4 linked regions of the Elephas maximus indicus genome follow. Each later gene encodes a partner of the first gene's protein in a complex. Links are inferred from orthologs where the notes say so. Each region holds a gene or a part of one and is shown in the gene's direction. Other genes may lie near its edges.

Region 1 (7,828 bases):
TACTCTCCCCCTAATGAGACAGCCCACTCTCTCCCTCCACTCTCTCTTTTCCTGTCCATTTCGCCAGCTTCTAACCCTCTCCACCCTCTCATCTCCCCTCCAGGCAGGAGATGCCAACATAGTCTCAAGTGTCCACCTGATCCAAGAAGGTCACTCCTCACCAGCATCCTTCTCCAACCCGTTGTCCAGTCCAATCCATGTCTGAAGAGTTGGCTTCGGGAATGGTTCCTGTCCTGGGGCAACAGAAGGTCTGGGGGCCATGACCGCCGGGGTCCCTCCAGTCTCAGTCAGACCATTAAGTCTGGTCTTATGAGAATATGGGGTCTGCATCCCCCTCTCCAACCTTTTTACCAATTCTGACACCAACCATCCCTCCCAAGGCACTCTCTGCTTCTCTGCTGGGTTTGATCATTTGTTACAATGGCCACACAGAACTCAGACAATACTCACTATTACGGGGTTTATGAGAGAAGTATCAGGTTACAATTCAGGTTCAGAAATGCTCAGGATACAGTTCTTCCACTAGGACAGCTTCTTCTCAGCCCTGCTGCAGGCACACCTCTCTCTGGCCCCTTGGCCTCTGCCCTGCTTGGACAAAGTGTTACAAAGTTCTTTTAGCTCTGCTGATAAGTGCCCGAGGGTGCTGGGCTTTCTTGCCCTGTGTGCCGGGAAGCCCCACCGCAGCCTCCTCATGCCCGTCTTCTGATTTGTGCCTTTTCCCTGTCTCTTCCATGTTATAGCTCCTCTCTCTGTCTCCTGGAGGTAGGAGGTTCTCAGTGCAGGGATCATGGGTCCAAAGGGCATGCTCCACTTCTGCCTTTTCTTTCTTGGTGGTGTTGAGATCCTCTCTTCTCACATCTGGATGGTCCCAGTGGGATGGCAAAACTGACCAATCCCTTTGTTTGGTTCCATACAGTTTATTTGCATTTTTTTTTTTTTTACCCCCACGAGGGTGCCGTGCACATTATGTACATTATCCAATCCCCTTAGTGGGTCAAAGCACCTCATTTGCATAGTCCTACCCAGTCATTTGGTTGAAGTTAAAAAGGCTATGGCTAGATGGGCCATATTAAGTAATTCACTGTACTGTAATAGTGTAGTCAAGTTGATACATAACATTAGCCATCACACACCCCCTCTCCTTTGTGTGTAGATGGACCTGTGACTTGCTTCTAACAAACCAAATATGGCAAAATTGATGGAATGGCACTTCTGAGATTAAAACCCAGTGCCGTCGAGTCGATTAGGTTCTAAAATCTATGAATTTTGTCTTGCTTGGATTTGCTCTCTTCCCGGCACTTTCTCTTGCTCTCTTGCATGCTCACTCTGATGCAGCAAGCTTCCTTGTGAGCTCCCAGTGAGGAGGCCTATGTGCCAAGGAACTGAGGTGGCCTCCACCAACAGCCTGTGAAGAATTGAATCCTGCCAATAACTACATGAGTGAGCATGGAAGCAGCTCCTTCCCTAGTTGAGCACTGAGATGATTGCACCCCAGCCAACAATTTGGTTACAGCCTGTGAGAGACTCTGAAGCCCAAGACCCAGCTAAGCCTGATTTACAAAAACTGAAATGATTAATGTTGCTGTAATAATCCACAAAGTTTTGGGATAATTTGTTATAGCACAAGGCAATTTAATGTCCGTTATTTCTTCCACCATATTTCACATTATGGTACATTGTGAGCCTGACAATTCCAGTAACAGGAGTCTTTGGGGGTCTGTGTCTATCAAGGGTGGTTTCTGTGGATTCTAACATATAGTCCTCACCACTGAGCTGGTGGTCTTTGCTTGTGAACTCACTACTTGATATTGACTTGAGTCCTGAGGGGATTATTTACTTCTACTTCTGTAGGTTGCCAGGAGTGACACCAACCCGTAATTGCTTCAGCTGCCCTGGAAGGTCCTGGCTTAGCTGGAGAACCAGACTCATGTTTTTCAATTCACAACTGTCCCCATGCTGTTGGCAATGCCAACACAGTCCCTTCCTGGTGCATGCAGTTCTTCCCCCGAACTCTTTCCTTTTTGTAATTTTCTGGTCCTGTTTTTTTGGGGGGGGGGGGGGCAGAAGGGAGGGAATCCCTGAAGGCTATCCCTACCTCTTATGAAAGCAGTGCCTCAGAAAATGTTAGCACACCTATGCCATCATAATTCCAGAAGCTGAAGTCCAGTTTAAGTTATCTAATTTATATTTTACTATTCCTAATACAAAAATAGAATTGCTTAAAAACCAATCAACTCAAGCATTCAGCTCATCAAAATGAAAGTTTCCTTATAGTTAACAGGGCAGAATTTGAGTTACCATTTTAATATTATTCTAACCTGTTGGCCATTTTTCCTTTCTCTGTTAATCTTATTTTCTTTCAAAAATCATTAAAAATTTAGTTACACTGGCATAAAATAGGGAGGGGGGATCTTTGCTAGATTAAAAATGTCTAATACTTGTGTGTGTGGTCCTTGTTTGAATCCTGGTTAAAACAAAACAGTTCTAAAAAGTCATTTTGAGAGAATTGGGGAAATTTGATTACAGATTTGATGTTAGATAATACTAAGAACTAACTTCATTTTGTTAGGAGTGATAATGGCACAGTGGTTATGTAAGAAATGTCCATAAATTTTTAGATGCCTGCTAAACATGTAGAGGTAAAAATGATATGACTTTAGGGATTTCCTTAAATGACTTCAGTTAAGAAAATAAAAGAAAAAGAGACCAATAAAGTAAATGTGGCAAAATGCTGCTACTGCTGTGTTCAAAAGGAATTCACCTTTTATGGCTTGAAAATACACTGCCAAACTGCACTGGAGCAAGGTGATAATGCATGAGACTTCTCATTTCACCAAACCCTCCTGCCTGCATAGACATTATTGTTCTTTTAAATATTTATTAACATGAAAATCATAAACTGTTATGTCCCTGGACTTTCCGTTAGCACTTTTGAATTAGTGGAGATGAGTTTTCATATACTTACTGGCCCGTTTTAATTTTTCTCTTTGAAAAGACTGGTCGGACTCTTCCCCGTGTTTTAAATGACAAAGTATCTCTATTTTTTTAAATTCTAATATTTTTTTTGTGCATAGTAAATTTCTGTCGATACACATGTTACAAATATTTTCCCAGTTTATGGTCTATCTTTCAATTTAGTTATGGAGTCTTTTGTGGACAAATTTATCAGTATTTAAGTTTTCTGGTTTTGCCTGCTCTCTGGGTCATCTAGTGCTGCTATAACAGAAATATCACAAGTGGATGGCTTTAACAAAGAGAAGTTTATTTTCTCACAGTCCAGTAAGCTAGAAGCCCAAATTCAGGGTGCCAGCTCCAGAGGAAAGCTTTCTTTCTCTGTTAGCTCTGGAGGAAGGTCCTTTTCATCGTCTTCCCTTGCTTTGGGAGCATCTCAGCACACGAACCTGAGGCCCTCTGCTCCCAGCACTTGTTTCTTGGTGGTACGAGGCTCCCATGTCTCTCTGCTCACTTCTCTCTTTTATATCTCAAAAAAGATTGGTTTAAGACACTACCTAATCTTGTAGACCTCATCAATATAACTGCTGCTAATCCATTTTATATTACATCATAGTGATAGGATTTACAACGCATAAGAAAAGCACATAAAATGGTGGACAATCACACAATACTGAGACTTATGGCCCAGCTAAATCGACAGGTATTTTTGGGGGACACAGTTCAGTCCATGACACCTGCCATGAAACTCTTTTCCAGTTTTCAAGATTACACAGTGTGCTTCTGTTTTACTTCGTATGTTTTCATGGTTTCATTTATTCAGATTTTTAATCCACCTGGAATGTATTTATGTCTTTGGTCAGTTTCTGGGCCCTCTCCCAGAAAACATCCATTAAGTGTTGCCTACCAACCTCTACTTGAGTTGGAATTAGTTTGGGGGGCGGGGGGTAACAGCTGCACTCCTTTCCAAGTTGACTGCAACCTTAAATGATTGCCTAGCAACCTTGTTTCCAGCGATGTGATTGGACCTTTCCCCAAACCCCCCATCCACCAGATAGAAACTTAATCTCCCTTTAGAAAACAAGTGCCGCCTAGTTGCATAGCAACCAAATCTCTTGGCCAAATCGGATTTTGACCGGAGTGGTAAACAGCGGTGCCCCGCTCAAAGATGGCGGCGAATAGCCACTTTGAATGTGTGTAGCTCTCCTCGGCCCGGCCGATAATCCAATCTCCGGCATTAGGCTCCTGAAATAATTCACTAAGCCTCTTCCGAGTCTCCCATTCTGAGGGAACAAGCAAGGAAAAAGATGGGGCAAAGGCGTCCTGGATGCCCCGCACAAACATGGCCGCGGGGGCGTCAGCAGCTGCGGGAGCCCGCCCCGCGCGGGGACGCGCGCGGCGCAGGCGCTTTTCCGGCCATTCCGCGAAGGTGGCGGCGGCTGCGGCGGCGGTGGCGGCTGCTGCTCGGGGCATGGTCCCCGGTTCCGAGGGCCCGGCCCGTGCCGGGGGCCTGGTGGCCGACGTAGTGTTTGTGATTGAAGGCACGGCAAACCTGGGGCCCTATTTCGAGGGCCTCCGCAAGCACTACCTGCTCCCGGCCATCGAGTGAGTGAGGTTTCCGCGACTGCGGCCCCGCCCTCCAACTTTAGTTTTCCTCACCTTTTTGCCTGACCCCGACCTTTCACTTCCGACCCTGACAGGTATTTTAATGGTGGTCCTCCTGCGGAGACGGACTTTGGTGGAGACGTGAGTCTCGGGACCGCGGGGTCTGAGGGAGGAGGGGGCCGGGAGACAGGGACTCCGGGCTCTGAGGGAGGAGGGGCCCGGGGACGTAAACTCCCGGGTCCGAGGGAGGAGGGGGCGGGGCCCTGATTAAATGTTTCTTCTCTTCTCCTCTCAGTATGGGGGGACCCAGTACAGCCTTGTCGTATTCAACACGGTGGACTGTGCTCCCGAGTCCTACGTACAATGTCACGCTCCTACCAGCAGCGCTTATGAGTTTGTCACCTGGCTCGATGGCATTAAGTGAGCTTCTTCCCTTCTTGGGGCAGTTTGGGGAATCCTGTGAGGAAGGGTGAATGAATGGTTGCTTGGGTGTGAGCTGCAGGAGCCATTCACTCTCACTGGGTGGCTGAAAGGACTCTGTGAGGGCGTTTGTGTGTTTTTGTCCCTAAGTCACTTCTGTGGCAGGTTCTGTATGTCATCCAGTTTGAAAGCAGGAAAAACTTAACCAGTCAGATGAGATAGGTCTGGTTGAGCTCTAGCATCTGCCTCAGACTCCATCAGTGACTGAGCTGTGCCCTTGCCTTACTGCCCGCTGTTTCCTGTCTACTCCAGGCCTCTTTTTCAGATGCGTACATTGAAGTCAAGAGGCTCTAGTGGCACAATGGTTAAGCACTCGGCTGCTAACCAAAAGGCTGGCACTTTTAACTTACTCAGTGGCTCCATGGGAGGAAGACCTGGCAATCTGCTCCCCCCAAAATTAGTGGAAAAAAAAAAAAATTACAGCTTAGAAAACCCTGTCAGGAGTTCTGCTCTGTCACATGGGGTCACTAAGAGTTAGAATTTACTGGACAGCATCTAACAACATTGAAGCCTGATAGCAGGAGGCCCAGGGCTAGGCCAAGTGGATCCTTCTGTGGTTTGGAGTGGATTTTCATAGTTCATAGTGCAAACTCTGGAGTTAGCCTGGGTTAGAATACTGTTAGACTACAAGCTAACTCTCAGACCCAGGAGTCCCTTTTCCCGCTGTGCTTGATGTAGGCCATCTGTAAAACAGAGACATTGATCATGCTTATGTTAGTTTTTGTTGTAGTACCTAGCCATTGTTGCATAATGAATCAGGGTCCCTGGGTTGTGCAAATGGTTTGGGCTCAACTACTAACCTGGATATTAGTGGTTTGAGCACACCCAGTGGCACCACGGAAGAAAGGTCTGGTGATCTGATACCATAAAGATTACAGGCAAGAAAATCCTATGGGGCAGTTCTACTCTATAATGTTTGGGGACGCCACGAGTTGAAGTTGACTCAACTGCAATAGTTTGATTTTTTATAATAAATTACCCCCGAATGTAGTGTTTTCAAACAACGAATGTTCATTACATTATTTCATGTAGTTTCTGTGAGCAAGGAACATAGGAGCAGCCAAGCTGGGAGGTTCTGGTTCAGGGTCTCTCATAAGGTTGTAGCTGAGATGTTGGCTGGGGCTGTAGTCATTTGAAGGCTGAACTGGGGCTGGAGGAACCACTTCCAAGATGGCTCCCTTACATGGCTGCTTCAGTATCTTCTCAGCACGGCAGCTGGTTTGCCCTACAGTGAGCAGTCCAACGTAGATCACGAGGGAGCCACAAGGCCTAAAAAGTGTCAGAAATCACGTACCGTCACTTCTGCCAAATTCTGTTTGGCACACGAGTCAGCCCCGTTGACTGTCTAGGAATACCCAGAATGTAGTTCATACTTCGATCGTCTAGTAAACCTCTGTATAACCTTTCAGACCCAATGAGGGCACTACACAAGGCCGTGAATACCAGGAGCGGGGATTGTCCGTGGTTATCTTGGAGCCTGGTTATCACGACTTCATAGGGTCATTTTGATAACTAAATGAATCGATGACAGATTATAGCCAAGAAAATCCGTGTGGAGCAGTTCTACTCTGTAACGTACGGTGTCACCATGAGTTGGGGTCTAACCAGATGACAACTATCAACCATAACAGGAGATAACAAGTGCTTTCTAAACACCTTAGTTACATATCTACTCTTCACAGTCAACTTAGAAGACAGTGTCTAAACAAATAAAAATACTTTGTGAGCTCACTGCGGAATTCCAGCAACCTGCTGGCAAAATTTTTGAGCTCTCATGTAATGTTCACAGTAGTCACTGTCATGTAATCTGCTGTGTAGGCATCTAAATACTGTCTCTGTCGTTTCTGACGTAGATCTCTAATAGGGATGACATGAAAATTAAATATCATTCACACTCTGTAAAAGTGGCCTGTGGATGGCATCTGACCTTGTCTAACTTCAATGGCAGGGTGAATCATCAGCATCAGCCCAAGGCTAGTTCCTGTAAGGGGAGGTCAGACATACCTCCTCCCTCCATCAGCTGTGCCTCCCATGGCACTCTGTACTTTTCTGTTGGGTTCGATGATTCGCTGCAATGACCGTACAACTCACAGACGGTACTCAGGATTATGGGGTTTGATAAGGAAGTAAAAAAACCCAAAATCCACTGCCGTTGAGTCTGTTCCAACTTAGTGACCCCATAGGACAGAGTGGAACTGCCCAATACGGTTTCCAAGACTGTAAATCTTTACAGAAGCAGACAGCCACATCTTTTTCCTGCAGAATGGCTAGTGGGTTTGAACCACTGACCTTTTGGTTAGCAGATGAGTGCTTTAACCACTGTGCCACCAGGGCTCCTTATTAGGGAAATAACAGGTTACAATTCAGGATCAGGAATGACTCAGGAGACTCAGGATACAATTCTTCAGTCAGGACAGCTCCTTGGCGGTGGCTGCAGGCAAGCCTCTCCTTTGGCCCCTAGGCCCCTTGGGCTGGCCTCTGCCCTGCTTGGGAAAGTGTTACAAAGCTCTAGCTCCCCAGTAAGTGCACGGAGGCACTCCACTCTGCCAGGAACCCTCCTGCCCGAAGGCACATGGCTCTTGGTCTGGGCTGGCAAGCCTATTGTAACCAACTTGGTCCATGGGCCAGGAAACCCACAAGTCTGTCTTGCACTGGTCTCCTGCTTTTGCTGCCACTGTCTCTATGTTGCTGCTTCACGTTGTCTCTAGTGTTACAGACTTCCTTCTCCGTCTCCTGGGTCTAGGAGGTTCTCAATACAGGGACCCTGGGCCCAAAGGACATGCTCCACTCT
Region 2 (8,333 bases), on another chromosome or scaffold:
TGCGTGAGCATCCTTAGGAATACAGAGCCGAGCCTGGCCTCCTAATGGTGCAGTTGGATCAGTGAAGGAGCAAGCCATGTTCTCCATGGGGCTGACTCCCAGCAGAGGAGATGCCAGGGTTAGGTCCTGCCAGGAAGGGCTGCTCAGACTTAAGTGGTGGCAGGGCCAAGCCACCACTGTCCCGTCCCAAGGCTTTGTAGCCCGACACCCATCTGCTCTGTGGGGCACAGCTAGTGCCAAACCTGCCTGGTCCCCTTGTCCTCTGGGCCTGGCCTAGGAGCCATTTGCAGAGTCTCCACGGCGGTGGTGGAAGTCCCTGGGCCAGGTCTGATTCTCAGTTGCGTGCCCTCCTGGGGGTTGTAGATGCCCATGGGAAGCAGATGGCCCATGGAGAGGAAGCGCTTCGTAAGTGCTCAGTGGCTGGCGTTCTTCCTCTTGCAGCCCTGGATGGAAGAGCTGGCTCCCCACAGGGTGTGAGGCTCGGTGGGGCCTCTGGGGAGGAAGGCGCCTGGATGAGGAGTGGGGGTTGGAGCCGCTTGAGGAAGACCTGCTCCCTGCACTGCTGTGGGGCCTGGCCAAGGGGGGATCAGGAGGATGGGCCTGTGCTCCCTCAGGGCCTGTGGGCAGATGTAAAAACATTGTCGGGTAGCATCTGACCTCCTGTCTCTTCACAAGGGGGAGGGAGAATCGAGATCAACAGCACAAGGCTGATTCCTATGAGGTGGAGATCAGACATGTGCCTCTCTCTGCCTTCTTTACCAATTCTGATGGCACACGCTACTGCTCGGCTGAGTTCGATAATTCATTGCAGTGGCCACACACAACTCAGACAGTGCTCATGATGATGGGGTTTATCAGGGAAGTAACAGGTTATAATTCACATTCAGGAATGCCCAGGATACAGTTTTTCCATCAGGACAGCTTCTTCCCAGACGTGCTCCCGGGCATGCCTGTCTCTGACCCTTTGCCTCTGCCCTGCTTAGGCAAGTGTTACAAGCTCTTTTAGGTCAGCCAGTAAGCGCCCAGAGGCACCCCACTCTGCCAGTAAGCCTCCACCCAAAGGGTTCAGCTCTAGCTTTGTGTATCAGCAAACCTAGCTTCACCAAGTGTTCGAAGGCTTCCTCCAGGAAGCCTCCTGCCTGAAGGCACTCAGCTTTCTAGCTCTGTTGGCCAGGAAGCCCCCCACACAATCCCCTGCTGCTGGTCTTCCCTGCCGCTGTTTCTCTGCCGCTGCTTCTCACCGTCTTCCATGTTACAGTTTGCTTTCTCTCTCTCCTGGTTCCAGGATCTTTTCAGCGCAGGGATCCTGGGTCCAAAAGACAGGCTCCACTCTTGACTGTTCTTCCCTGGTGGCAGTGGGATCCTCTCTTTCATGCCTCTGGGATGGCTCATTTTAAGCTTACCAGGCTAGCAAAACTGACCAATCCCTTTGGTGGGCCACAGTTACCTTTTTTGCACAGTCCCACCCAATCACTTGGATGGGAGTTACCAAGACCATGGCGAGAAAGGCTACATAAAAGTAATCCATCACACTGCAGTGGGGTTGGTCAGAAGCAGGGTCTGTGGGGACACAGAGGGGCACCTTTACTGGACCACCACCTCTGGTGCCACGTGTGGCGGGTTTGGGTTGGACAGAGAGCTGGTTTGCTGGTGAACTTCAAGTTAAATGGTCTTTGTAAATTCTAGCCTAAACCATGCTGCATGAAACCACGAAGCTGGTTTACACGCTGGGCTGCCCTGGCTTGTCTGCTGCCCCTACCGCCTGGAGCCCACAGGGCCAGCAGGTGGGGGCTAGAGGACATGAGCTGGGCTGGGGATGTGCTGGGGCTCCACAGGGGGATAGGCTGGGTAGAGGTCGGGGCTAGGGTGCTCCCCGACCCCATCTTTAAACTTGGAGCCTTGGGGTGCCTACAGCCCCTGCCAAGATGGCAACACCCAGCCTCCCTCTTCGGAGACAGGCCTAAGACCAGCACAGGTGCTGCCGAGCCTGGAAGCCACCAGCTCAGGGAGGCTGGGAGCTCTGTGACCAGTGCTTTTCCCTGGGGTGATGTGGCGTCACTGTGGCCTAGTGGCACCAGATCCCCGCATCCACCTGGTGAAGCCTCAGACATGGCTTGTGGCGAGGGAGGCCTGCCGCCTCCAGCAAGACAAGCCACCTGCCCCAATGCCAATATCCTTGTCTGTCAAGTGGGTGTGAGGGTGATGAGGAAAGGGCTTAGCCCCTGGAGCCCCACAAGGATGGCTGCTGCTCCTCCCCCACCCCACCCCACCCACTCCTGCCCATGGGCCGGGGTCCCCCTTCCCAGTGCATCTGCACACCTGCTGTCAGTTCCCGGAGGTGGGGCTTTCTGCAGGGGGCCTTTTGGGTGTGGAGGGGGCGGTGAGAGTGCATGTCTATGCAGACATAAGAGCCCTATCTCTCGGTTCCTGTTTCAGACCGACCCAGAAATCCCCCTATGTGGGGGCTGCTTTCAGTGTTGGGGTCTGTCCCAGCCCCTGGGGCCAGGCTCTGGGCGGATGATCTGACTTGGGAAGCAGAGGTGTGAGACCTGTGGTGAGGGTTAGCTGCGGACTTGCTCAGGCGGGGTTTGTTTTGGTGGCACATCACTTGCGTTGCTGTGGGCAGGGTTTCTCAGTGCAGCCCGCCTCCTGGTCCCGGGATTTCAGAGGGAGCAGCTCCTTGGGTTCGGGATCCTGGGCTTGGCGGAGGCCAACAGGACCCTGGATTTTTATGCAAGTGTTGTCGTTGGCAGGGGCCAGGACCTCCTGGGATGGGCAGGGCTGGAGCAGCAGTCACCCTTTCCCTGCGTCCTGTCTTCCAGCAGAGCAGGGTGGATGGACATAAGTGAGTGGGGCAGGCAGAACTGTGCTCCAGTCATTATGCCCATCTGGCTGCAGGCTCAGACCTGGCTGGTGTGTTTCCTATTCTTTAGGAAAACTGTTTGGCATGTGGTTTCCAGAAGTTTATTTGACTGGGACATGTCCTGGGGAGAAGTCCAGAGGGGCAGGGCCTGACTAAGGCAGCAGAACCACTAGAAACCCCCTAAGGGCCACACTGTTATAAAGAGCCGGATCGGAGGGACGGAAGTGTACAGAGACCGTGGTCTGTGGGGACCAGGGCAGGCAGGGTGCCAGCTCCTCACCTTCATTCCCCAGCCTTGCCCACTTCCCCATTTGGTAGGTCAGTTGCCCTCTACCCCATCGCTTGTGGAGACAGACCCTGTATTCTGTCCCCCTTCTTTCAGCTGAAGCTTCCTACCCTGCCCTCTTCATGACCTCCCTGTCCTGCCCTCAGCCTGACAGTTGGCCTGCCCTGAGTGGTCTGGGTGGGGCCCTCCCTGCAGTGCCTTGAGCGCCCCCCAGGGCCTCCCCGTAAGGGTGGTGGAAGGGCAGAGGGCCGTCCCCATCTCAGTCCCCTGGGGCCCAGCCCCACTTGGTGCTGCCCATGCCTCTGGGGAAGGCTCCTCCACTATGTGGCATTGCCAGGAACCCCCACCCCAGCAGGCCCCATGCACGGACTGCAAGCTGTGGGAGGCTCTGGTGGGGGAGGGCCTCAAGCCAGACCCTTCTCCGGGCAGCCTCCCAGTGTACTCAGCGGGGTCTGCTTTGGTCCTGGGGCGGGGGAAGGGGGCAGCTGCATATATTGGGACTGCCAGGCTGGTGCTCCCACGCTCCTCCGTGTCTCACCATCAAGCAGGCAAAAGGCCATCCAGACAAGCAAGGCAGGACGTCTCTCCTGTCCCAGGCCCTGCTGGCCTGGATGCTGAGAGCAGAGCTCAGGGGATCAGGCCAGCTGATCCTGAACTTCCAGGCAGCCACAGCCCCCGACTCCTCAGTGCCAGCACCCCAAACACATCATAAGAGCTGAAGGCCTTTGCTCTGCCCGAGTACAAGGGCACAAGAGCACGTAGTCGCTGCCTAGCTCCACTGCCTATTACCTGACCTTCACCCCCACGGCTCCCAGCTGTCCTGCACCAGTTCCAGCCATTTTCAACGTGCTCGCCTGCTTTGCCCAGGTGTTCTGCCTCCTTGCCCGTCTGGCAGCAGGAAGACATCCACCCAAAGACAAGGACACTCTGTGCCGCCGGCTGGCTGTGCCTGGGCAGTAGTGCTTGCCCTGCGGGACCTGGCTCTAAATATACCCGTGTGAGGTCACCAGGATGGGACCCGTCAGTGCCAGACCCAGTCTCTGCTCGCTGCCCATTGAGGCATCTCACCTCAGATCACCTCCCGCTGATGCCCCTTAGATATGCTCACAGACATGGCCCCACAAGGAAAGTTGCAGGGTAGTCTCACCTAGGAGCACATGGGCCGTGGGTGGAAGGGCAGCTTGGCAAGTGGCCTCTCAGTTGGCTGTGGTCGCTGGGCACCTTTACACCTGGAGGGGACACCAACACCCTGGTGCAGAAACACATACAGTTGGCAGGCTAACTCCCCAAGACACCTGTGTCCTGGTCCTGGGAGCCAGGCATGCGGCTCCTCCCGTGGTAGGAGGCTATGGGGATGTACTGAGATGGAGAGAGGAGCTGAGATCATCCCAGCAGGTCGGAGAGACGAAGCAAGGACTTGGCTACACTGCTAGATTGAAGATGCAGGAAGGGCCAGGCTGAGGAATGGGGCCACATCCAGAAGCTGAACACGGCCTTCAAGGGACAGCCAGTGAGAAAACGGGGACCTCAGCCCAACAGCCACAGGCGCTGAATCCCTCCACCACCTGACTGAGCAGGGACTCAGACCCTCCCTCCGACCCTGCAGGTCCGGCTCTGCCCGCCACACCTGCCTCCAGCAGGTGAGACCCTCACCCACTTCTGTCTGCCCAACCGAGAGAGAATAAACGCACGTTGTTTAAGCCACTAATGTGTGATGGTTTTGGCAGTGACAAAAAACCCACAGCACACGGTCCTGTGAGGACAGGGTTGGCAGGGGGGACAGGCTGATGGCCAGCCCCACCTGACGGGATGTGTTTCTCTGCTTACGCTTGGTCAACCCAGGTCACGGCTGGGGAAAGCCATCACTGCGACCTCATCTGTAGTGGCTGCGGAAGTGCACCCAGGTGTCCCTGGGATGAAGAAGGGCTGGGCCAGGTGTCTGCGCATGCTGATGTACGCAAGGAATGCTTCTGGAGTCACACAAGGCGATGCTGAAGTGGCTGTGGGCAGAGTACACTTCACTGTGTGCCCTTTAATGCCACTTTAATTTGTACGACCCAACTGTAGCTGAAAACAAATTCAAGTGATTGGGGGTGGGGAGTGCTGTGCTCACTGCTACTCACAGGGGTGCAGCGGGGGCCTCCTGCGACCACGCCCTGCCCCCAACAAGCCCTCTTGGCCCTGCCACAAGCCCCCAGAAGCCTATAGCTGCTGGGGTTATTGTTGAGTCTGTGGGAACTTTTTATATAGTGTGGATCCAAGTCTTTCACCGGGTACTTGTTTTGTCAGCGTTTTTCCCCCAGGCTGTGGCTTGCCTGCTCACTAACAGTAGTTTTTACCAAGCAGAGCTTTCTAATTTTGATAAAGTCTAGTTTGTCAGTATTTTCTTCCTACAGTCGGTGCTTTGGGGCCCCTGAGAAGTCTTTGTGTACCCCAAGGCTGCAAAGATGTTCTCCTATGCTGCTTCTATGATGCTTTTAGAGTTTTAACTTTTACATTTGAATTTGTGTTCATTCCTAATTACTGTTTGGTGTTTGATGTAAATGGAATCAGACAGTGTGTATTTTTGTGACTTTTCACTCAGCATTGTTTACGATTCATCCTTGTTGACGCAGCTGTGGCTCGCTCATTCCCATTGCTGGGCACACTTCCTCTCAAGTCAATGTAGTCGAGTCCTTCAGCTCTCGGTTACCCTGTGTTGTGATCCTGACCCCTTGTGGTCATTGTGGCTGCAGTGTCATGGGTCTTCTCGTTCACGTCTCTCAACCCACAGAGTAGCCATTCTCCTCAGGGGCAAGGTCCTGGTCGCGATCAGGGCTTTGGAGGAGACAGCGGCCTTTCTGGACACGTTGTTTCTGTCTGCAAGATGGGAGGGTGGTTATGACTGAAGGAGTTAACACAGGTCAAGGGCTTTGAGCGGGCCGGCAGACAGCAAGCATGGGGCAGGGATAGACTCACTGGGGCCTGGGGTCTGTGCGTGCTCAACTTCACCAGGTAAACCCACGCTGGTTCCTGAGGCTGGCTGCACCCCTACGACCAGGTATCCCAGACACCACTTCTACCAGGTTCCTGTGTATCTGTAGTGGTCTTAATTTGCACTTTCCTGATTAATAGGGAGTAAGCCTTAGCTTATTGGTGTTGAAATGTTTTGATCCTGTTTTAAGAAATGTTTTGAGACAAGTTAATGGAAATGAAACAACTAGAACAGAAATAACAAGAATGTTGGCACAGTGTGAAGAACATAACAGTGTCATTGGTCATTATGTTTACAAACTGGAGTGAGAGCATGTATATTGTTCTCACCAAAAATATTAATTAAAATGAAAAAAAAAATTTTTTTTTTTTTTTTTAAGATCAAATTCACCACTTTAGGCCTATAAAAGTACAATTCACTGGGCTTTAGTCCATTCATAGTGTTGTGCAGCCATCACCACGATCTAGTTCTCAAACAGTCAGACACTCCAAGGAGAAACACTCTCCCTCCTCCTCCTCCCCTCTCAGCCCCACAGCCCCCACTCCACATCCATCTCTGTGGATTTGCCTCTGTAGTCTGGGCAGTTCATGTAATCTGTCCGCCTCTTCGTGAGGTCGCATGTCCCTGCGGCTCGTGTTTTCACACTGTCTTGGTCTCTTTGGAAGGTCTGGATTTCAGTATGATCACAGTGATCGGTTTATTGCACATTGATCATTTCCTTTAGGCTTTGTGCCAAATCAGATGGCACACGCAGGCTGTGTACGTGATAACTGCATGCAGGCAGGGGTGTGTCTGGGTCCCAGTAAGCCAACCAGGTAGAAGCTCAGAGGGGGGGTGCGGGGGGGGCCATGTTAGCCCCTAGGGGCAGGTAGGGGCTTGGGCGCTGCCAGCTCTGCTTGCCCTGAGCTGGGGTAGGGGAACAGGGGCAGGCACTGACAGCGGCTCTTGTCTTACAGATCCGGAACATGGTGGCGGTGCTGGAAGTCATCTCCAGTCTGGAGAAATACCCCATTACCAAAGAGGCACTGGAGGTGGGTGCTGCTGCTGTCCTGGGGATGCGGGAGCAGGGGCGCTGTGGCAGGGCACAGGTTCCCCACTGTATCCTCCCTGGCGTGCCCGAGCCCCTAGGTCTCTACCCATGAGTTAGGAGGTTTGTAGAATGTGCCTTACTGGCCTTAAGAGGACTGAGCGAGGTGCCATCCTGTCAGAAGCCTCAGGGTGCCGGTGTGCTCCAAGACCGAGTTGTCACATAAAGCACTGCAGGAACTGGGTGCTCTCACCGGAGATAGGTGGGGCAGATCCTGGCCCATGTGAACTGCACACCTGGGGTAGTCCTCTGCTCATTGGAGGCCCTTGCCTGGAGGACTAGGTCCTTGGGTGGCCGTGGCTTTGCCATCCATAGCCTGTGGGCCCCAGGGAGCAGGGCTGGAGGTAGAGCTGTCGCAGAGCTCTCATGTTGGGAGGCCTCTCCCGGGCCAGGAACCCCGCCCCTCACCACCCACTCTGTTGCAGGAGACACGGCTGGGGAAGCTTATCAACGACGTCCGCAAGAAGACCAAGAACGAGGAGCTCGCCAAGCGGGCCAAGAAGCTGCTGCGGAGCTGGCAGAAGCTCATTGAACCTGTGCACCAGGGTGAGGCGGCGCTGCGGGGGCTGCCTGGCACCGCCGGCTCTGCCAACGGGGGCGCTCACAACTGCCGGCCAGAGGCGGGGGCAGCCGTCGGGCCCCGGAGCATCCGTGACCTAAAGAGCCGCAATGACATCCAGAGGCTGCCTGGTCAGCGGCTGGACAGGCCGGGCAGCCGCAAGCGCCGGGGAGACCAGCGTGACCTTGGCCACCCTGGGCCACCACCCAAGGCCAGCAAGACCAGCCATGAGCCTCTGGCCCCCAGCTCTTCCCCCCTGCCCACCAATGGGATCAGCGGGAGCCCTGAGAGCTTCACTGGTCCCCTGGACAGCGGCGGCCACACAGGCCCTGAGGGCAGCCGCCTGGAGCCTGGCGAGAACGACAAGCACAGTGGCTGGATCCCGGTCAATGCCGTGAGGCCGCACACCAGCTCACCAGGCCCAGGCCTGGGGGCTAAGGCTGCCTCACTGCAGCCACTGGACAGGGTAGACGAGACCCCAGGGGCCCCCCACCACAGGGGCGCCCCCCGCTGCTCCTTCAGCCCTCGGAACTCACGGCATGAGGGCCCCTTCGCCAGGCAGCG
Region 3 (7,474 bases), on another chromosome or scaffold:
TGCCTCATTAACATCATAGAGGTAAGATCTACAACACATAGGAAAATCACATCAAATGACAAAATGGTGTACAATCACACAATCCTGGGAATCATGGCCTAGCCAAGCTGACACTCATTTTGGGGCCACACAATTTAATCTGTAACAGGTACAGTTCAACTCTGACACCCATGAGGTCATCATGAGTCAGAATCAACTAGACAGCAACTGATTTATACCTGTGAATACAATTTAATATAATCATTTTCCATAATGTAATATAATGTAGTTAATCAATCCTTTGAGAACACAGTGTAGGGCATATCCTAAATCTAATCACTTCTGAGTTACAAAAGGAGCAGGTTAGACACAGATGCACACACAGAGGAAGACAGATGCCACGTGAGGATCGACTTCAAGCCAAGAAACCAAGAAATCGGTAGCCAGAGCTACCGATAAGGAATTGACATGGCCAAGACCCTGATTTGGACCGTTAGCCTCCAGAACTGTGAGAAAATAAATTTGTTTTCAAAGCAAAAAAAAAAAAAAAAGAGATACGATTATATATTTGTTATTTAATAAATATTCATGGAGCACTTGCTAATTCAGAAACTTTTCTAGGTGCTGAGAATGCAACAGTGGATAAAATAGACAAAAGCCCTATCCTCATGAACCCTGCATTTTGATGGAAAAGACAAAAAATAAAAAATATACTCAATGATTCCGATGATGACAAGTGCTATGAAGGAAGGATAACAGAATAAGGAGACAGAGAATGACTGGGGGTGTGTTATTTTATTCAGAGTGGCCAGGGAAATGCTCTCTGAGAAAGGTCACAATTGACCAGAGACCTGAACAAAGTGAGAGAGTGAGGCATTAGATGTCTGTGCAGAGTTCTAGGCAAACCAATGGCTCTGAGGTGGAAGTGTGCTTAGTGATTTTACAGGGAAAAATTAGTAAGGCCAGTGTCGCTGAAGAAGGGTGAACACTGAGAAAAATGGTGGGAAATAATACCTGAAAGAGAGCCAAGAAGTAAATTTTGAAGGGCCTCGTAGGCCATGGTGACTCCGTTGAATTTTATTCTAAATGAGATGGGAAGCCATTAAGAATTTTAGTAGAGAAGTGATAAAAATCTATCCTTTAAGACAGAATAGTAAATAGATTGTTGTTGTGAGCTGTCAAGTTGATTCCGATTCATAGTGACCCTATACGACAAAGTAGAACTGCCCCATACAGTTTCCTAGGCCGTAATCTTTATGTGAGCAAGTCGCCAAATCTTTTCTCCCATGGACTGGTAGGGTGGGTTCGAACCGAAGACCCCTTGGTTAGCAGCCCAGTGCTTAACCACTGCACCACCATGGCTCCTTAGTAAACAGAGTAAGAGGGGGGAAAAGTTAAATTGAGGAGACCAGTTAGGAAGCTATTTCAGAAGTCCAGGTGAGAGATAAATGTGGTGTGGGATATGATCATAGCAGTGGGATGGAGCAAACTAGTCAAATTTGGGACTTTATTAAAAAAAGAACACAAAATGCCAGTAGTTTGGATGTGGAATATGGAAGAAGCTGGAGTAAAGGATGACTTCTCATGTTTGAGCCTTTGCAATTGAGTGAATAGTTGTTGTTATGTGCCGTAAATTAGACTCCAACTCATAGTGACGTTCTGTAAAATGGAACTATATGTTGCCTGGTCCTGTGCCACCTTCACAATCGTTGCTATATTTGAGCCTATCCTTGCAGCCACTGTGTCAATCCATCTCACTGAGGGTCTTCCTCTTTTCACTGACCCTCTACTTTACCAAGCATGATGTACTTTCTCCAGGGATTGGTCCCTCCTCATGAAGTATCAAAAGTAAGCACTACAAAGTCTCACCATCCTCGCCTCTAAGGAGCGTTCTGGCTGTACTTCTTCCATGACAGATTTATTCATTCTTCGGCCAGTCCATGGTATATTCAATATTCTTCACCAACATCATAATTCAAATGTATCAATTCTTCAGTCATCATTTTTTACACTCCAGCTTTCTAAAGTGATTGAAAATACTATGGCTTGGGTCAGGTGCACCTTAGTCCTCAAGGTGACATCTTTACTTTCAAAGATTTTAAAGAGGTCTCCTGCAGCAGATTTAACCAATACGGTACATCGTTTGATTTCTTGACTGCTTCTTCCATGGATATTATTGTGGATCCAAGGAAAATGAAATCCTTGACAACCTCAATCTTTTCTCCCTTTATCATGATGTTGCTTACTGGTCCAGTTGTGAGGATTTTTGTTTTCTTTAGGTTAAGGTGTAATCCATACTGAAGGCTGTAGTCTTTGATCTTCATCCATAAGTGCTTTAAGTCCTCTTCCCTTTCAGCAAGCAAGATTGTGTCATCTGCTTACTGCAGCTTATTAATGAGTCTTCCTCCAATCCTGATGCCGGCAACCTTCTTCATAGAGTCCAGCTTCTCAAATTATTTGCTCAGCATACAGACTGAAAAAGTATGATGAAAGGATACAATCCTGATGCACAACTTTTCCAATTTTAAACCATACGGTATCCCCTTGTTCTATTTGAACAACTGCCTCTTGATCTGCGGAGAGGTTTCACATCAGCGTTCTGAAATTCCTATTCTTCACAATGTTATCCATAATTTGTTACAACCTACACAGTTGAATGCCTTCGCGTAGTCAATAAAGCACTGGTATACATCTTTCTAATATTCTTTACTTTCAGCTAAGATTCATCTGACATTAGCAATGATATCCCTCGTTTTACATCCTCTTTTGAATCTAGCTTGACTTTCTGGCAGTAAAGAGGTCTAATAATGTTGGTACGGGGGTCTAAAGCTCAGAGGTGAGGGTGTTGCCAGGGCCTGGATAATATCTGACCGAGAAGTATCTGAAGAACTGAATTCCAGAATAATCTAAATGACCAAATTGTGTCAAATGCTGCTAAGAGGAGTAGTAAAACGAGAACTGAGAATGGCCATTGAAGGTCATTAGTGTAGGTCACTGGTGACCTTGACAAGAACAATGTCAAGGGAAATGAGAAGAGCTTATTTGGGGTATGTTCAGAAATTATGGGTTATCTCAACAAATAAACTGAGATGAGGGAAAACTGAGATGGAGAAGGAACCTATAGATTAGAAGGAAATTAAAAGACACAGTCAATTACAAAAGGTGGACCTTATTTGGATCCTGAGATACTTGAAATTTGTATACTGGCCTCATATTTGATATTAAAGATTTATTGTTAGTTTATTCTTAAATGAGATAATGATACTGGTTATGTTAAGGAAATGAGTGTATATTTTTTGAAAATGCATGCTGAAATACAGATGAAATTACGGCTAGTAGTTATTCAGGGTAGTGCTGAGCATACAGAAATTGATTACACTATTCTCTCTGCTATTGTGTATATTAGAAATTCTTCACAGTAAGTTAAAAAAAAAGCAATGAATCTTATTTTTGAGGAGGTAAAACTGCTGCAAACTTTTATCAGAATGAATATTAATCTTATTTTTCACAAAAACATGCTGATTTTCATAAAAGCTACCCATTTGTTCTGCTCTGTTAAAATTCATCTCTACTTGTATTATTTGGTCCACAGCTCTTTCAAGACTCCCACAAATTTAGAAATTTGTGCCACTTCTTACAAAAATAACCTCTATAAGAAACCTTTAAGTCTGAGTCTTTTTTTTTTTTAACTTGGTAATTTGTTGCCTGGAAATATTAAATAGACCCTTCTGAATTCCTAAATGAAAATAAAAGTCAATGGATGATGAAGAATGAAGATTCACAACATGTAACTCCCAAGCATGTTAACAAATATACCCTTATTTAAAAGAATTATAAGTACCATATAGAGTCCAATATCATTTTTAGTCATTTTTTACGTTATATATATTAATACGTATTTATTTATATTTTATATATTTACACTATTTTGACGTGGGTTTAGAGTTTTGTTGATATAATTTTTTTAAAAATTTTACCTGTATTTTCTAGTTTTTATACAAACCATATGGATGCTTTGTTTAACTGTCTTAAGCACTTTAAAAAAATTAAAAGAAAAAAAGGAACGGAGCCATGAGCCTCTCTTTTTTATGACTGAAAATACACAGACCAGCAAGCTCACCTCCAACCCCTCCTAGCGGCTGTGCCTACTACGTGAGGCCGCGCAGGCGCAATAGCGACCTAGTGATCTGAGGCGGGACTAGAGTCTCGGGAAAAGACAGTCTTTTCCGCCAATCAGAGGACAGCGCCTAGGAGCTTCTTCCTGGGGAAGGAGAACGGAAATCGGATTTTGGTGGCAGTGGCTAAGGCGGCTACCGGTGTAAGCCCAGAGCTGAGGTTAGTGGATGGCGACGGCTTGGGGCTCCGGTCTGCGTGCGTTTCTTCTTCCGGACCCTACTCCTATTTCAGAGCTGGGCTGGGGTTGGGGGAGGCCTGGGGAGGCGCGCCGTCCGAGGGTGGCCCTCCTTTTTCTCCCCTTCCTTCGGAGAGCTCGGCCTCCCGACCCCCTGAGTGGACACCCGGCCGCAGGGTGCTGCCTGCGCAGCTGACTCGAGGCTTCGTCCGGGTGGGGAGACCGAGCCGCACTGAGGTTGAGAGCTTGGGTTCTAGGCCCCGCGCCGCCGGTTTTTTAAATTGTGTTGCCATGGGCGAATTATTTCTTCCCTCTGGCCCTTTGTCAAATGGAAAGAACCATCTCTGTCCTTCCCACATCAGGGAGCTAATAGAGGTCAGGGGGGCGATAGATCTCAAGGTTAATCGTCAGACTCGCCTGGAGAGGTTTTAAAAACGACTTTTCAGAGGCACTCTATAGACAAGCTGAATCAAATTCCTGGGGTGGGGGGGCCTGGAATACTTTTTTTTTTTAAGTCCCCAGAACGGAACAAACACTAAGAAGGTGGATGTTGAGTATGAACACCGGCTATGATGCGTGGCGCTGGTTTTACTAAAATGAGTAAAACACCATCATCAAAAAGCTCCATCTAAGAGGAAATGGAGAAATGAACACAATTTCTGTAATATATCAAGTCTCAGTGGTACAGTTAGAAGCTTCATAGCTTTGCTAATGAAGAGCTCTGCAACTAAAAGAATCTGGGATAAGAATAAGAATCCCCGCTCTGCCATTTACTAATGTTTGATCTGAGGCAAGTACTTTCCCACATTGAGCCCTGGGATCTTCATCATAGAATTATGAAAATTAAGTAAGGATATAAACAATGGTACCTGTCACGTAGTTGGCCTTTGGAAAATGGCGACTTAAATAGAGGAATGCTAATGGTGCTGGGGAATACATACAGGACAGGACTCCCAACCGAAAAAAGGTTTGTGTGGGGTGAAACCTGGGATGTCCAAAATGTTATTTTGAAGTACCGTATGGATGGTGATTTCCCTAGTTTGATCATTATGCTGTGGTTATAAAAGAACATTCTGGTTTTTGGGATACACACTGAAGTACTTTATGGGTAAAGGATGAGTAGCCGCTAAAGCAAATGAGGAGAATGTTAAAATTTGGGAAATCAGGATGAAGAATATGAGTTCTGAATTTGTTAAAATAAAGTTTTAAAAAGTTGATTTAACTGTTTGCAACTAAGTGTGTTGTAAATAATTGAAACAATATTTATAAATGCCCCCCCCAACCACACACATACTCACCCATTTTTTCTAAATGGCTGTAGAGTATTAGACATTGTATTTTATCCAGTCCTCATATTGATGAAGGCATAGGTTATTTTCAAATTTTCCTACTCTTCAAACAGTGCTATGTTAAACATCCTTGTACATGTTTTTGTGTACTTGTACCAGTATTTTTATAGGATAAATTTCTAGAAATGGGATTGTTGGTTTAAAGAATATCAGCATGTAAAATTTGGATATTGCCATTTTAAATTCCAAATACCTACTAGGTTCCTTTCCCATCAGCTGTGCCTGAAAATTCCCCGTATTCTCTTGGGTGGTATTGGCTTACCACTTAGGGGAGTCATGCAGTGGTAGTGATGATGGCTGCTTCCGTGAGAGCTGCAGTGAGTGGGTGCCCTCCACCTGAGAAGGCATACCTGCTGGGCCAGAATAGCTAAGGGACTGCTTCTAAAGTTGGGTGACCACTCTGAAGAAACTGAGAGTGTGACCTCTGCTGGAGCCTGCTATGTAGGAAGTGTTCAGACATTTGCTGAATGATGGGATATTTGAGATCTTTATAGTCCATTAAATGAAAAATAGCATTTTAAGTTTTGTTCTGAAAAATGTATGTCTGAACATTTTCCCACCTTTATTTGGCATTTTTCTCCTTCTCATCCTTTGTCTATTATTATTTTTTAGCATAGATTTTAAAAAACTCATTCAGTGGCTATTTTGATGATCAGGCATTTCCTAGGCACTGTTTGAGGTGCTGAGATAGAATTGTGAACAAGACAGGCAGAATTCCTGATACTATGGTGCTTTCCTTCTAGTGGGGATGGAGTCTGAAAATAAGTTTTAAAACATCAAAATAAAATGTTTAGTATTTACTGTTATGTATTGCAAACATTTTTCTCCCAGTTACTATCTTTTAAAAATTTGCTTACGATATATTTTCCTATGTGGAATTTTTAGTTTTGTTTTCTACTAAGATTGCAAGCAATACTAAGATGGAGGCAGTGTCTAGAAAAATGGTATAGTGTAGTATTTAAGAGTTTTAGGCTCTGGATCCTTACTCTGCTACTTGCTCAGTGACATTAGGCAAGTAGCTTAACTTTTCTGAGCCAGTTATCTCATTTCTAAAACTGAGGCAATAAGAGTACCTTTTGCAGATTTCTCACAACTATGAGAAAAATATTTAGAACAGTGTCTGGCATATAGTGTACGCTAAAATATTAGCTATCATTGTAATCATGTTGCCTGTATACTCATTTCATACAGAAAAATATTTGAGAAATGCGTACTCATTAAGGATGTTTGAGCCTACTCTCAAATTCCCATTGATTGGAGCCCTCTTGAAATGGATGGAGCTGCTCAAATATTTATAAAGGTCCTACCTGCAAGGCTGTGGACGTAATGAGAACTATGATTATCACAATCCTTCCCCTCCTGGAGTTTACAGTCTGATGGGAGAGAAAAACAGGATACTAGTACAGAGAATAAAAGAAGACCTACTGTTGATCTCGCTGTTTTGTGAAAAGGTGATAGTTTAAGCTAATGCCTGAAGCCAGCCCCATGCTAGGATCAGGCAGAAAAACATTCCAAGCAGAAAGAATAGCAAGTGGAAAGGCCAAAGGCAGAAGAGCGTGATACAATTAAATCTGAAAGAATGCTAGACTGAAGACAGTATTGCTAGTTCACTACAATAATAGACAAGATTATACTGGCTACTACAAAGAAGAACAGTAGTGAAAGCAAAAATATTCCTGGGAAAACTATTGTGTTCGGCCAGAAAGAATGGTGGCTTGGCCCAAACTGATAAATTTGAGATGCAGAAGTTAAACAGTCAATAGGACTTGGTGACAGGTGTGATGGGGAGTAGGTT
Region 4 (7,600 bases), on another chromosome or scaffold:
TACCCCCACTTCCCTCTCCCTTCCTTGGTACTCTGGGGGCTCAGGACTTCCAGCCAGAAGCTCCTGTCCTCAGAAAGCCCTGTTCCCCCACCTCATGTCCCCTGTGTCCCCCAGCCTGGCTCTGGCCCATTGAGTCAGGGAGTCTCCGGCCTCTCTGCTGGTCACCCTACCCCAGGCTGTGAGAGCAGGGCTGGGGACCCCCCTTCCGAGTGTGTGGTTAGTTGTGTTTTTGGGAAAATGGAGGGTTCAATAAATTTCTGGTGCTCTGCCCTCGGGCTGGGCGGCTTTTTCTTTGGGTGGTGTGTGTGCTGGTCACTGAGGGCTGCAGGCCTGGCGGGATGAGATTCCCTGATAAGAATGCTATCCCTGTAGAAGGTACTCATGGGAACCCTGTTGGGTGCTGCCAGGCCGTTAATCTCTTGAGTACCCCCGGTTCGAATCCCACCTCTGCCTCTTTTCAGCTGTGTGACCTTGGATGCGTCACTAACCTCTCTGTGCCTCAGTTTCCCCATGTGATAAACAGGGTCGGCAGGAGGATTATGTGAGATAATTGATGCAGGTAAAACCCTGGCTCAGGGCAAGTAATACCATGCTCAGAAATCTATTTAGCTGCACTTCCTGGCCTGGGTTATTTGTTTCCCACCAATGGTAATTTTGTATCCCCCTGCTCACAGTGTTTTTGTTTTGGAAGCTCAGACGCCAGGGAGGTGGCAGGAGGGGCCTGTGAATGCCATTCCTCTGGTCACTGGATCCATTTCCCAATGACTATTTTCTGAGCCTTTTTTTTTTTTTTATTGTGCTTTAAGTCAAAGCTTACAAATCAAGTCAGTCTCTCATACAAAAATTTGTGAACACCTTGCTATATACTCCTAGTTGCTCTCGCCCTAATAAGACAGCACACTCCTTCCCCCCACTCTGTATTTTCATGTCCAGTCGGTTTCTGACCCCCTCCGGCCTCTCATCTCCCCTCCACACAGGAGCTGCCCACATAGTCTCATGCGTCTACTCGATCCAAGAAGCTCACTCTTCACCAGTATCATTTTCTACCCCGTAGTCCAGTCCAATCCCTGTATGAAGAGTTGGCTTTGGGAATGCTTCCTGTCTTGGGCTAACAGAAGGTCTGGGGACCATAACCTCTGGGGTCTTTCTAGTCTCAGTCAGACCATTAAGTCTGGTCTTTTACGAGAATTTGGGGTCTGCATCTCCTGTTCTGAGCCATTTTGAGAGGGAGGTTCGGGCCTGGAGTCTGTCACCCTCAGTTGTTCGGCTCCGGGAACGGGGACTTTCTGCACAGTCATGGCACCATCCTCCCTTGAGGACTTTAATCTTGATCCAGTGTGGCCTTCGGATATTCAGACCCTTAAAGAAAGATAGCCTTTTTACTTTAGAACAGCAACAGCGTCAGATTTACAGTCACCGGGAAGACAGTTCAGAGAGCCCCATCCACCACATGCCTGCTTTCCCCTTTTTGAACGTCTCACATCAGTGTGGCCATTTGTCACAATAATGAACAATATCAATACTGGGGAGTCTTTGGGTGACAGCTTGATGCCTAACTGACAGGTTGGCGGTTCAAACCCACTGTCTTAGCTATCTAGTGCTGCTGTAACAGAAATACAAGTGGATGGCTTCAACAAACAGGAAGTTTTGTTGTCTCACAGTCTAGGAGGGTAGAAGTCCAAATTCAGGGTACCAGTTCCAGGGGAAGCCTTCTCTGTCAGCTCTGGAGGAAGGTCCTGTCATCAATCTTCCCGCAGTCTTGGAGCTTCTCAGGCTCAGGGACCCTGGGTCCAAACGACGCTCTCTGCTCCCAGTGTTGCTCTCTTGGTGGTATGCGGTCCCCCTGTCTCTGTTCACTTCTCTTTTATATCTCAAAAGAGATTGGTTCAAGACACAACCCAATCCTGCAGATTGAGTCCTGCCTCATTAACGTAACCGTGCTAATCCCATTTCATCAACATCATAAAACCAAACCCATTACCGTGGAGTCTATTCTGACTCATAGTGACCCTATAGGACAGGGTAGAACTGCCCTGTGGAGTTTCCAAAGAGCGCCTAGTGGATTTGAACTGCCAACCTTTTGGTAAACATCCATAGCACTTAACCGCTATGCCACCAGGGTTTCTGTTATAGAGACAGGATTCACAACACATGGAAAATCACGTCAGACGACAAAATGGACAATCACACAATACTGGGAATCACGGCCCAGCCAAGTTGACAGACATTTTGGGGGCACGCAATTCAATCCATGGCACCCACCTAGAGGCCCCTAGGAAGAAAGGCCTGGTTATCTGCTTCTGAAAGGTCACACCCTTGAAAACCCTATTGACTCAGTTCTGCTCTGCACACATGGGAACGCCATGCTTTGAAATCGACTGGCTGCCAAACGACAACACTGATACATTATCATGAACTAAGGTCCACACTTTATTCAAATTTCTTTCGTTTTTCCCTGATTTCCTGTTTCTGGGACCCACGGGACCTTTAGTTCTCGCATCTCTTCAGGCTCCTCTAGGCAGCGACAGTTTCTCAGACTTTCCCTGTTTTTGAGACTTTGATGGTTTTAAAGGGTGTTACTGAGGAGTTTTGTGGGAGGCCCCTTGATTGGGGTTTGGCGCTTTTCTCATGAGGAGACTGAGGCTGTGGGTTTTGGGGAGGAAACCCCAGGGGTGAGGTGCCCTCCCCATCTCACCATATCAGGGTGCATACAGTCCACATGAACCGTCACTGTGACATTGACCTTGCTCACCTGGCTCAGGTGAGTTGTCAGGTGTCTGCACTGTGAAGTGAGCCCTTTCCCCCCTTTCCAAGCTGTGCCCTTTGGAAGGACATCACTATGCACCCACACTTAGGGGTGGGCGTAAGGCTGGAGAATCTACACAGAGTATTTTGAATTCTGCAGGGAGATCTCTGTTCTCCCTCTATTAATTTATCTGTCTTAGTCATCTAATGCTGCTATAACAGAAATACCACAAGTGGATAGCTTTTAACAGAGAATTTTATTTTCTCACAGTCTAGTAGGTTACAAGTCCAAATTCAGGGCGTCGGCTCCAGAGGAAGGCCTTCTGTCTGTCAGCCCTGGAGGAAGATCCTTTGTCCTCAATCTTCCCTGGTCCAGGAGCTTCTCAGGCACAGGGACCCCGTGTCCAAAGGACACGCTCTGCTCCTGGTGCAGCTTTCTTGGTGGTTTGAGGTCCCCAACTCTCTGCTTGCTTCCCTTTCTTTTTATCTCTTGAGAGATGAAAGGTGGTTCAGACCAGGGAAACTCCCTTTACATTGGATCTAGGTGGTGACCTGAGAGAGGGTGGTGTTGCAATTCCACCCTAATCCTCTTAACGTAAAATTACAATCACAAAAATGGAGGACAACCACACACGGCCTAACCAAGTTTATACACAGATTCTGGGGGGGACATAATTCAGTCGGTGACATTATCCAATCATCTATTTATAACACTATGAACTCAAGGGGGATCACTTTAAATTTTGGATTATAATCCCATACTACTTTATTTTGTTGCTTAAGCGATTCCACTTCAGCCCTGGGGAGCTCTTCGGTTGTCTCCTGCGTCCTTTCGACCTACCCCATCATGTGGGGGGGTTATTTACCGAGTTATTTCCTTATTTTCTGGCACATTTTGTATACTTCTGCACCCTCCTAGAATCGGCCATTTCTCCAAGGAGCCCGGTTCTAACTATCGGAGCGTGATTTGGGGAACCAAGATCTGGGCGCTGGGCGTGCGCGATTCCATTTTAACACACGTTTAAAACGTTTTCAAGACAGATGTTGAAAATGGAAATCCAAACGTTGGGTAGAGGTGGTGCGTGCCCAGTGCGGGGTTCAAAAGACCCGGCTGGACTGACCGGCGCGAGGGTCACTATCCGGGAAGTGGTTCCCAGAGGGCAAGCCTTGGGGATTAAGGTACGGGCTGCGGAGTTGGGGTGCTCCCCAGGGTTGGGGTGCGCTAGAAGCGTTGCCTGCAACTTTAGAACGTTTTCTTCGGTAGCCCAAGAGGGGCAGTGCTGGCGGGGGGAAAAGAATGAGATTTTGGAAAAGAAATCAGGTTTGGAACCGGCAGTTCCCCCCACGGGACAAGCCTTGGAGCTTCAGTTTACCCTCCAATGAAGATTGGAAATAAGAACCAAAATATGGAACGCTTCACGAATTTGCGTGTCATCCTTGCGCAGGGGCCATGCTAATCTTCTCTGTATCGTTCCAATTTTAGTATATGTGCTGCCGAAGCGAGCACGGTTACCACGCTAGTCCGTCCCATATTTATAGTATCTCCTGTTCATCTCTTTACAGTAAAGGTCACTCTTTTTTTAAGGTTAGCAATCTATAAATCCTTTATATGACATTAGTACAACACATGGAGTAATAACAAAAAATTTTAAGAATAACTGCCGTGGAGAAAGTCCCCTAGTTGTTCTACCAACTAGAACTGCGATGGCTGCTGGGAAGATTTCCATGTAAATAAGCCACCGCATGCAAATTATGGCGCTGGGGCGGGGCCGTCCCAGAAGTCTCTGCGAAGCTGCGACGCCGCGCAGGCGACTCTTTGGTCCCGGGTAATATGGCGGCGCCGGAGCCCGCGGGTTAACGCGAGTGCGGGCCGTGGCCGCCCGATCGGCTTGGCGCACGGGCTGGCCAGGTGAGCGCGGCGCTGCGCGGGCCCGGCGGGGGCGTCCGGCGTCCGGACGTTGCTCGCGGCCCCGGGGAGCGCGGGCCAGAATAGGTGGAACCGGCGGGGGCGGGGCCTCGAGGGCCACCGTTCCGGGGGCGGGGCCTGCAGGGCCGGGGGGCGGGGTCTGGGAGCAAAGGGTGCTGGGTACGCGGCCAGCGCGCCGGGGGCGGGCCCAGGGGCTGTTACGGGAACTTGGGGTGGAGCCTGAGGTCCGCGGGGGTCAGGGCCTGGGGGCCGTGGGGGAATCGGGGCGAGGACTGCAGAGCAAATGCTGATGAGGGCGGGGCCCGCGGGTCAGGGGCGGGGCCCGCGGGTCAGGGGGCGGGGCCCGCGGGTCAGGGGGCGGGGCCGGGGAGGACGGGGCTGGTGGGCGGCCTGGTCGGGGACACGTTGGGGTGGGGTCCCCGGGAGGAGCCTGGGGAGACTTTGGGGTGAGCCCGACTCCGCGGTGTCACCAATCAGGGTCCTCCGTGTGCTGCCCTCGCCTCCCGCGGGCTCCTGCGGACAGCCGTCGGGCTCCTGTTTTTTGATTTTTTCCAGCCACGGCCCTCCAGGGCCCCGGGGCGAGTCCTCCTCGTCCACAGCCTGCCTGTGGGCCCCCTGCCCTTCCCTCCTCCTTCCTCTTGCTCACTCCCTGCTCACTCGCTGTAGCCACAGCCATGCTGCTGCCTTTCTCCAACTCGCCAGGCTTGGTCCTGCCTCAGGGCCTTTGCACGTCCTGTTCCCTTCCCTGGAGGCTCTTCCTCCAGATGTCTCCTGCCTCCCTCCTTCACCCCTGTGCTCACATATCGCTTCCCCACTTAAAGCTGCAGATCCTCCCACCACACACACACAGTGCCCAGGGCAAGGATTTGATCTGCTTTGTTTACTCCTGCGGTATGTCTAGGGTCCAGAGTGCCACTTGGCACACTGCAGGCGCCAACATCAATGACAAGCCCTCCCTCCTTCAGGAGCTAGTGACATCCGTGCTGTGTGGCAGGTGGCATAATGGACCTGGCTTACGTCTGCGAGTGGGAAAAATGGCCCAGGAGCACCCTCTGCCCTTCCGTGCCCCTGGCTTGCGCCTGGTCTTGCCGCAACCTCATTGCCTTCACCACGGACCTGCGGAACGATGATCAAGGTGCGCTGGCCGCACCACAGTAGTGCCCCTGGAGTCCTGGGGAGCCAGCACCGTGGGGCTCAGTCTCAGGCCTGTCTAGGACCCCGGTTCCACCCCTCACCCAGTGGGCAGCCTGGCCATTCACCCTGCCCCCTTGTCTATAACCTGGGGGCAGTGGGATCTCCAACCTCACAGGGATTCAGGGGGTGAACATGGAGACCTCTCATGCCTGGAACCTGCAAGGTGCTTGGGTTCACTCCCACGGGATTGAGTGGGGACGGGGGGTGGTGGGTCACTGAGGCGTATCTGGAGACTCACTCGCCCCATTTTCCATTCGGTCTTTGAACATATGGGTCACTGTTTGGCTTTTGAAAATCTCTGAAGTACACAGTGCCCAGGTCTCTCTCTGCCATCGTCTGCATAATATGTGCTCGTTAGAGAGAATTAGAAAAGCACAGAAAACTAGAACTAGGAAAAAGAACCACCTGTTACCTTCCACGGACAAGTGCTTACTGTTAGCGTTTTGGGTTCATTTTCTCCCATTTTTGTTTTCTGTGCCTTTTGTGAGAACGTGGTTGTAATTACATTGGCAGTGGTGTGTTCCCTGCCTGCCTCTCTCCTCTGGCGGGGTCACACACGCGCCTCACTGTGTCACCGTTGTCCTCAACGTGATTGATGGCAGCTCCACAGCTTCCCTGTGAATGGGGTCTTTGGTGGGCTGCTCAGTTGAGCCTGCCTGGGGTCCTCAGGGTGCTCCTTCAGGGCCATGCTGACGGTGCTCCGTACCACTTCCGGGCCATGCTGACCGTGCTCCGTCCCACAGACCTGACTCGTATGATCCATATCCTGGACACGGAACACCCCTGGGAGGTGCACTCCATTGACTCGGAGCACCGTGAGGCCATCACCTGCCTCGAGTGGGACCAGTCAGGTGAGGAACGGGCCCCGGGTTGGGCTGCGACATGCTCACATCTCCAACTGTAGAGTTGGGACTTGGACCTCCTGCCATCAGTCTCTCCTGCTCACTGTGTCCAGAGACGTTTCCTGAGCGCACCTCAGGCCTCCCGACTGCTGGGCCTTTGCCCAGGCCACGCCTTCCACTGGGCACTCCTCTCATACCGTCTGTACCCTCGAAACCTGTCCCCCCTTCCCAGGCCCCTTGGGAGTTTGCCCCTGCCTTCTGGGGAAGGTTTGTGATGCAGCTTTGTCCCCACAGGCTCCCGGCTCCTCTCGGCCGATGCTGACGGCCAGATCAAGTGCTGGGGCATGGCAGACCACCTGGCCAATAGCTGGGAGAGCCCAGTGGGCAGCCTGGTGGAGGGGGACCCCATCGTGGCCCTGTCCTGGCTACACAATGGAGTGAAGCTGGCCCTCCATGTGGAAAAGGTGAGTGGCCCACCTGAGTGAGTAGGTTGGTGGGTGAGATCTTGCCATCCTACCCATTCACCTGGCCACCTGTCTCCCCGTCTCCCACCACCACCATTGTCCCCTGATTTCTTGAGCCCTGGGCCTGGTTCACACCTGGGATGAGCACCTGGTTGTCAGTGGGGCTTGAAACGGGTTCTGCCTGGTTCAGTCATGGCCAAGGAAGCGTCACTGGAACAGTCCCAAATTTTTAAAGTTATGGTGTATCAGAAAGATAGCTGGAGCAGGAGCAGTTATTGGCCAAAGTCCTGTGTTTTGGTCATCTAGTGCCGATATAACAGAAATACCACAAGTGCATGGCTTTAACAAAGAGAAGTTTGTGTTCTTACAGTCCAGTAGACTGGAAGTCCGAACTCAGGGCACCGGCCCCGGGGGAAGGCTTTCTTTCT

What was found.
Region 2: MED25 (region 1) and MED26 share a complex: the UniProt entries of both Homo sapiens proteins name them as parts of the mediator complex. The link is inferred for Elephas maximus indicus from reciprocal best matches to the Homo sapiens genes MED25 and MED26.
Region 3: MED25 (region 1) and MED7 share a complex: the UniProt entries of both Homo sapiens proteins name them as parts of the mediator complex. The link is inferred for Elephas maximus indicus from reciprocal best matches to the Homo sapiens genes MED25 and MED7.
Region 4: the proteins of MED25 (region 1) and MED16 are in contact, whole or in part, in a cryo-EM structure (PDB 7EMF), measured with the Homo sapiens proteins. The link is inferred for Elephas maximus indicus from reciprocal best matches to the Homo sapiens genes MED25 and MED16. Residues at the interface, in NP_112235.2 of Homo sapiens: Ala26, Asn27, Gly29, Pro30, Tyr31, Val74, Asp75, Cys76, Ala77, Pro78, Glu79, Val82, Cys84, His85, Pro87, Lys102, Phe103, Met104, Gly105, Gly106, Gly107, Gly108, Glu109, Thr120, Gln123, Leu124, Asp127, Phe128, Tyr151, Leu152; in NP_005472.2 of Homo sapiens: Cys41, Arg42, Ser92, Ser94, His113, Arg161, Lys163, Phe171, Gly172, Gly173, Lys174, Pro195, Gly485, Tyr486, Ala516, Ala517, Gln520, Val521, Thr524, Arg525, Ile554, Ala555, Ser558, Lys561, Ser562, Leu563, Leu564, Arg565, Pro566, His567.

Annotation. Positions count from the first base shown.
Region 1 is NC_064829.1:100,254,792-100,262,619, forward strand, and holds the start of MED25 (mediator of RNA polymerase II transcription subunit 25), read left to right. Parts: upstream 1-4,379; 5' UTR 4,380-4,423; coding exon 4,424-4,557; intron 4,558-4,652; coding exon 4,653-4,698; intron 4,699-4,852; coding exon 4,853-4,977; intron 4,978-7,828. UniProt on the Homo sapiens protein: Component of the Mediator complex, a coactivator involved in the regulated transcription of nearly all RNA polymerase II-dependent genes.
Region 2 is NC_064821.1:36,782,030-36,790,362, reverse strand, and holds the start of MED26 (mediator of RNA polymerase II transcription subunit 26), read left to right. Parts: upstream 1-4,918; 5' UTR 4,919-4,958; coding exon 4,959-5,102; intron 5,103-7,079; coding exon 7,080-7,154; intron 7,155-7,635; coding exon 7,636-8,333. UniProt on the Homo sapiens protein: Component of the Mediator complex, a coactivator involved in the regulated transcription of nearly all RNA polymerase II-dependent genes.
Region 3 is NC_064820.1:173,622,711-173,630,184, reverse strand, and holds the start of MED7 (mediator of RNA polymerase II transcription subunit 7), read left to right. Parts: upstream 1-4,228; 5' UTR 4,229-4,314; intron 4,315-7,474. UniProt on the Homo sapiens protein: Component of the Mediator complex, a coactivator involved in the regulated transcription of nearly all RNA polymerase II-dependent genes.
Region 4 is NC_064821.1:626,127-633,726, reverse strand, and holds the start of MED16 (mediator of RNA polymerase II transcription subunit 16), read left to right. Parts: upstream 1-4,537; 5' UTR 4,538-4,654; intron 4,655-5,637; exon of another isoform or gene 5,638-5,666; 5' UTR 5,667-5,674; coding exon 5,675-5,807; intron 5,808-6,609; coding exon 6,610-6,717; intron 6,718-7,002; coding exon 7,003-7,172; intron 7,173-7,600. UniProt on the Homo sapiens protein: Component of the Mediator complex, a coactivator involved in the regulated transcription of nearly all RNA polymerase II-dependent genes.